Xenopus tropicalis: one gene and its partner. The protein of the gene in region 2 interacts with the protein of the main gene of each other region in a biochemical or structural test. Links are inferred from orthologs where the notes say so. Each region holds a gene or a part of one and is shown on either strand. Other genes may lie near its edges. The genes, in order: mlh3 and msh4.

The links.
Region 1: the proteins of msh4 (region 2) and mlh3 form a complex in vitro, tested with the Homo sapiens proteins (2 studies listed by BioGRID). The link is inferred for Xenopus tropicalis from reciprocal best matches to the Homo sapiens genes MSH4 and MLH3.

The regions. Positions count from the first base shown.
Region 1 is NC_030684.2:82,223,441-82,227,273, forward strand, and holds part of mlh3 (DNA mismatch repair protein Mlh3), read right to left. Parts: intron 1,332-3,833; coding exon 1,172-1,331; intron 673-1,171; coding exon 649-672; intron 1-648. UniProt on the Homo sapiens protein: Probably involved in the repair of mismatches in DNA.
Region 2 is NC_030680.2:80,957,564-80,961,396, reverse strand, and holds part of msh4 (mutS protein homolog 4), read right to left. Parts: intron 3,561-3,833; coding exon 3,450-3,560; intron 1-3,449. UniProt on the Homo sapiens protein: Involved in meiotic recombination. Required for reciprocal recombination and proper segregation of homologous chromosomes at meiosis.

The DNA of each region.
Region 1 (3,833 bases), on a different chromosome or scaffold from region 2:
TCAGTTTTCACAATAGTTTTCCTACTTAGCTGTTAAAGGAATAGTAACATTTCTCAGATATTTTCAGATATGTATTACTCAAAGTCTGGTCTTGACTAAAAAGGGGAATTATCATGCAAACAAATTATTTTCATAAGCTTCACAGAGCCGGGCCAAGGAGTACTGCCACCCTGGGCATTAAAAAAAACGAAACAAACAATTTGGGTTTAAGGTATTTCTGTTATTTCAAAAAGGGAGTAGAATTTTTAACTGAATATATTTAGAATTTTTTTTTTAATTAGAATTATATATTTTTGTATCATCTAGAAAAAAAGGCAATTTCTAGCATCTGCTGTTAAATGTTGGCAGTTTTGTCATTATTTGTGTTTCTGTAGGCTCCACAAACAAGTGCAGGGCTCACAGGGGCAAAACTAGGTAATTATAACTGCAATAACATTTAAATAAAGCATTGCCTTACAGGAAGCACAGACACCTTGTTGTAGTCAGCTAGGAGAGCTTTGCAATACATGGGTTCAGTAAAATGTTGTACAAGGCAACTTCTCCTTTATGAACAGAAAATTGTTCTTGTAAGGGCAAGACTGAACATGGGATAACAAGTGTAAAATGTATTTACTTATACAATACACAAGAACACAAGGGTTTACTTACCTCCACCTGTTCTTGTAGAAACTCCTGAAACACAGATAAGACAAATGAGACTTTCTGTGGTTGCTGCATTTGAGTGACTAAAAGACCACAGCCAGTTCAAAGAATATGTACAGATGTGGAAAAAGTCATACAATTTTAATACATAATACCTAGGTTTCCATGTTTGTTTAATAGATTGTAAGCTCTACAGGGCAGGGACCTCCATCCTCTTGTGTCTTTGGCTCTTAACTTATTGCAACTGTATCTTGTATTTATTTATTTGTATTTATTGTTATACTGTGTATTTATCAATCTTATTAAATCTTAATAACCCCGTTTGTATTAATGTATTCTACTGTACAGTGCTGCATACATAAGTAGCGCTTATAAATAAAGATATACAATCGAAATTTAATGGACAGCTAAATCAGGATTTTATCTGCAGGCATTATGTCAAGTTCCATAACTACACCGTTTACTAGGCCTGCTTATAAAATACAAAACTCAAATTAATAATTATATTTTTTCAGCAATAATACAATACCTGCACAAGGTTTTTAGCTACTGTTGACCTTCTACGATGTAATTCATTTGCTTCTCTCTCTACAAAACACACAGGGACTGCTGACACCAGGACACATGGACCTTGAGTATCAGGAAATGACAGAGACAAGCCAATACTTTGCGAACTCCTAGCAAGGACCCTATAAAAGAAAAGCATATATACATTATATATATATATATACATTATATATATATATATATATATATATACACACATTATATATATACACACATTATATATATATATATATATATATATATATATATATATATATATATATATAAAAACAAAATGAAATACTGGCACTCACGTATAATCCACAGCTTGGCCTGGGTGCAATCCTCAAAATTAGAATGAACACGAATTGGGAAAAGAAGCCGCACTCACAGTACTTAAGTCCTGTGAGTGCGGCTTCTTTTCCCAATTCGTATATATATATATATATATATATATATATATATATATATCAAAATAAAACAGCCAGCACCAAGGGTCTTTGTATTTCAAAAAATCTCGTGTATTATAATTGCATGTACAACCGACGTTTCGGTCCCTTTTGGGACCTTTTTCAAGGTCCCAAAAGGGACCGAAACGTCGGTTGTACGTGCAATTATAATACACAAGAGATTTTTTGAAATACAAAGACCCTTGGTGCTGGCTGTTTTATTTTGATATTTATGTGATATCCCGTGCACAGGGGCAGCTGCAGAGCAGCAGATTTTGGAGTGTGGTGCTGTCGTGTGGACTGTTTTATATATATATATATATATATATACAGTGGAGGAAATAATTATTTGACCCCTCACTGATTTTGTAAGTTTGTCCAATGACAAAGAAATGAAAAGTCTCAGAACAGTATCATTTCAATGGTAGGTTTATTTTAACAGTGGCAGATAGCACATCAAAAGGAAAATCAAAAAAATAACTTTAAATAAAAGATAGCAACTGATTTGCATTTCATTGAGTGAAATAAGTTTTTGAACCCCTACCAACCATTAAGAGTTCTGGCTCCCACAGAGTGGTTAGACACTTCTACTCAATTAGTCAACCTCATTAAGGACACCTGTCTTAACTAGTCACCTGTATAAAAGACACCTGTCCACAGAATCAATCAATCAAGCAGACTCCAAACTCTCCAACATGGGAAAGACCAAGAGCTGTCCAAGGATGTCAGAGACAAAATTGTAGACCTGCACAAGGCTGGAATGGGCTACAAAACCATTAGCAAGAAGCTGGGAGAGAAGGTGACAACTGTTGGTGCGATTGTTCGAAAATGGAAGGACCACAAAATGACCATCAATCGACCTCGCTCTGGGGCTCCACGCAAGATCTCACCTCGTGGGGTGTCAATGATTCTGAGAAAGGTGAAAAAGCATCCTAGAACTACACGGGAGGAGTTAGTTAATGACCTCAAATTAGCAGGGACCACAGTCACCAAGAAAACCATTGTAAACACATTACACCGCAATGGATTAAAATCCTGCAGGGCTCGCAAGGTCCCCCTGCTCAAGAAGGCACATGTGCAGGCCCATCTGAAGTTTGCCAATGAACACCTGAATGATTCTGTGAGTGACTGGGAGAAGGTGCTGTGGTCTGATGAGACCAAAATAGAGCTCTTTGGCATTAACTCAACTCGTTGTGTTTGGAGGAAGAAAAATGCTGCCTATGACCCCCAAAACACCGTCCCCACCGTCAAGCATGGGGGTGGAAACATTTTGCTTTGGGGGTGTTTTTCTGCTAAGGGCACAGGACAACTTATTCGCATTAACGGGAAAATGGACGGAGCCATGCATCGTGAAATCCTGAACGACAACCTCCTTCCCTCTGCCAGGAAACTGAAAATGGGTCGTGGATGGGTGTTCCAGCACGACAATGACCCAAAACATACAGCAAAGGCAACAAAGGAGTGGCTCAAGAAGAAGCACATTAAGGTCATGGAGTGGCCTAGTCAGTCTCCGGACCTTAATCCAATAGAAAACCTATGGAGGGAGCTCAAGCTCAGAGTTGCACAAAGACAGCCTCGAAACCTTAGGGATTTAGAGATGATCTGCAAAGAGGAGTGGACCAACATTCCTCCTAAAATGTGCGCAAACTTGGTCATCAATTACAAGAAACGTTTGACCTCTGTGCTTGCAAACAAGGGTTTTTCCACTAAGTATTAAGTCTTTTTTTGTTAGAGGGTTCAAAAACTTATTTCACTCAATGAAATGCAAATCAGTTGCTATCTTTTATTTAAAGTTATTTTTTCGATTTTCCTTTTGATGTGCTATCTGCCACTGTTAAAATAAACCTACCATTGAAATGATACTGTTCTGAGACTTTTCATTTCTTTGTCATTGGACAAACTTACAAAATCAGTGAGGGGTCAAATAATTATTTCCTCCACTGTATATATATATATATATATATATATATATATATCATGATGGTATGCTGAAATAAATCACTGACTTGATTGATGCTATAGCTGTGAGTGCTTTCTACTGTTGAGTTTGATGCATTATTTTTGTCAGCGCCCAGCCGTTGCCCCGATACTGGTGAGTGCCTATCGGGGCAAAGGCTGGGTGCTAACAAAAATAATGCATCAAACTCAACAGTAGAAAGCACTCACAGCTACAGCATCAATCAGGTCAGTGATTTA
Region 2 (3,833 bases):
AATTTTCGGTCGAATCCCGAACTGAATCCTGGATTAGGTACATTTTACTATTTTACATAGTCGGTATCCCCGACTAAAGTAAATAATCTGCCTGTATGCTTTTGGAATGTGAGAGGAAATTGAAGTACCCAGAGGAAACCCACACAGACACAGGGAGAACATACAAACCTCGCAGATAGTGCCCTGGCTGGGATTGAACTCAGGACCCCAGCACTGCATGGCAGAAGTGCTTCTCACTGAGCCACCATAGTAATATATTGTATGCATTTTCATTACAGTTTTAAATATATTAGGAGTTGGTACATTTTTGAGACTCCAACTACCCAAATTGCTTCTGACTCCACAGCTCTGCCCAGAATGAATACTTAACCGACATGGTTTATATCATATTCAGTGGCCTATTAAAGAATCTTACCAAATGGGAATATATATATATGTAAATATTGCCCTTTTACATCTTTTACCATGAGCCAACATTTTGTGATGCTCTGTGTGCTCCTTTTAGAGATCACCTGACCAGAAATAATTCATCCCTAACTGTAACAGAAAGAAGCATGGGAGTAAAAGACATAACTTTGCCCTTTAATTGGCTGATGTGACCTAACATGTATGTGTGTGTGCCCTTCGTATGTTTGTGTGCATTATGAATAGTATGATCCCAGGGGGTGTCCCTTAGTACATAAAATGGGAATTTTCTATTTAGGATTACCCAATGGCACATACTATTAAAAAGGTATATTTTTTAATTAGGTGAAGCAGGGTTTTACATATGAACTGTTCTATGCAGTATATTTTTATAGTAGATTGGTCGAGGGTATAGTTCTCCTTTAAAGGAGAAAGAAAGGTAAAAACTAAGTAAGCTTTATCAGAAAGGTCTATGTAAATACAGCCATAAGCACTCACAGAAACGCTGCACTGACTTCTCTGAAAAAAGATAAGTTGTGTCTGTAATTCCTGTGCCAGAGACACGCAGCTTTCTTCTCTCTCCTGCTCCCCCCTCCCTCAAGAATGCAAAGAACTTACTCCCCCCCTTAGGAATGTGGATCTGAGCCAATCAGCAGGAAGCTGACTCAGTCTAAATAACTGAGCATGTTAAGTTTGGTCTGGGTGTCTGTGCAGGAGTGAGGCATTTTGGGAACTTTCTTTACACAGCTCAGCATTTTTTCTTCCTGTTTGGCTTCAGATCTTCTGAACAGGTGAAATATGGGGAGACTTAAGTGCACTATTGAGACAACTGGAGGTATGCCTGCAGCTTGAGATTAACTCTTTACTAGCCTTTCCTTCTCCTTTAAATCATCAGAAACCCAATGATTCCTGATGAGGTTTCATCTGTCACAGAAGCTAATGCAATAGGGCTGATTATTCATCAGTTCTGCTTCAGAATGCACTGATTGCTATGATTTCATGTAATGTAAATCTGAAATAACCAGCCTTGTAGTTTTTACATTTTAAACTGTATATATACTGTAAGTCAGTAATTAAACTCATGTAACTTACAGCAGCTCAAGGCATGATCTTTGAATCAGTAGAAAAGATGATGGAGAGGGCAGACAGTACCACTCCTGTGGTAACCTTTGGTGGTTACACAATCCCAAAATTTATGGTTTAGCATTTCTAGCCTAAGAGACATTTTTACAATGAGGCAAAATTAAAAACTTGGCTCAGGTTGTACTTTATCAGGGTATCTGGTAATTTTAAAAGGGACCTTCCAATCAAGAGCTACTTTTTACAAAAAAAATTAATTTTAAGCTACCTTACAATATATATTAAATAATTGTGGTTGTTGTAAATGTATTTACTACTGAAAGCAATGTTTTGGCTGTTCTCTGCACGTCTGGCTCTGGCTTCTGAAACCAGCTGTTTAAAGTAGGGCTGAATTTGCATTTTTTTAACTATTGATGCGGCCCCCCCATGTGAGCTTTAGTAATATAGTTCTTCTCAAGACAGATATCATAATTTGTAGACCACTGACATGACCTGCCAGAAAATTTACTTATTTTTCTGTGTTTTTATCAATATTACTATTTTGTGCTAAACAAGTGTTGATACATTTTAGGCCACTAGATGGCTCTGTTTATGTGCAACATAATTGTAGGCAACTTTTCCCAAACAACTTATTTTCAGTTGTAACATGCTTTCCATTTACAATTTGGGAGGCTTAATTTATAGGGCATCTTAGTTTATGCATTACATAGACTCACAGTTGCATGTATTGCATTACCAGTTAAACTTGCTAAGATTGGCAGGCTAGCTACGGAGAGCTAAAAGACATGTAACGAGACTGGGGAAGACTTCTTTCATTTGTTCTGGTCCTTCTAAATAATTACCAGTTATAAGCCAGAGGTTTTGATCTCAATTGGAAAAGGATGATGGACCCCAAAGTTAAACTTTGGTAAAACTATTTTGTACACTGGATTGGTCCATTCCTTCCTACTACTTTGATTTGGCATCATTTAGTTGACAAAATTCTTCCCTTAATTAAACTTCAATATCTGGTCGGGGTGCTCCAGAGAAATTTTATAAAAAAAAAAAAAAGCTCTCTAAACCCCCAAGACTTTCATTAGATTATCATATGCCATTGATATTGATATGCCATTGTTTTACATTACATTGGAAGATCCAGGAAGGGAAAGGTTTGGAATAAAAAAATATGTATTGGCTCCAATAATCCTTGTCAATGGAACAGTGGTGTAACTTGATGGTTCCCTCCCTGGAAATCCCTGCCCACCTACTTCCCCCTCTCCCTGGCCGCAGGTGGGATAGCGGTGGTCTGCTTCCTCTATAGCTTTGCCAGTGCAAGGGAACACCCCTGAAATAAAATGGCATTTCTTAGTAGTTTGCACCAAAAATATACATATATTTTGTACGTCGGGACTCTAGGAGAGGGGAGGACAACCAAAAATGTGGCAGAGCCAATTCAGCACATTATGTTAAGTAGCACAGACAGTAAAAGGTAAGCATTATTATGAACTTATATAAAATAAAAACGTAATCCTATTACACGTAGGGTGATAAAGTGTACTTTATCTACTTTAAAATAATACAAGTCAGTACTATGTGTTGGTAAAACTGTAGCTCCATTAGTAAAGTGTAGGAAAAAACTTAAGACTTAACATGTGCCTCTAGGGTAAAGGAACTATGATAAAGTATTTTTGTTCAACAAATACAGCTAAAACATTACAGGAGCAAATTTGCTTCTTGCTTGTAATATAAGGAATTTACAGTAGAATACCCAGTTTACGTTTTTCAGTTGACCTAGCTACACCTGTCGCAACTATCCACCACCATCCTAAAATGTTATTTATACCTTTGGAATATATCTTGCTGTAGGGCTTCTAAAAAATATATGTTTTAGTTTAAAGTGAAAGGAATAGGTACAAACAGGTATACTCAAATATACATTCATAATTTTTTAAGATGTAAAAAAATAAAAAATACATAAGAATTACCTTGAAATTTTCCGCTATAAGAAGAAACAATTTACTTGCAGTGCCACTATCACAAGCAGTATTTGGCATCAATATTTCAAGAGGTGTCAGAATCTTAAGTTTTGTAATTACCTACAATATTTGAAAATATGTTATTTACCTACAATATTTGAAGAGATGATTTCTTATGAAGGTCCCATCCTATCCTAACTTTGAACTTCAGATTTAGGTAATACACAACATTTACCATTATACCAGTGTAGGAACCCACAACCTTCAATCAACAATAAACAATTATTAGTATAGTGATCCCCCCAGTGCTGAAGGCAAAGCACCGGCAGGAGGTACAGTATATATATATATGTATTATTCCCCCTAGTGGGGGAAATATTTTTTTCCTGATAG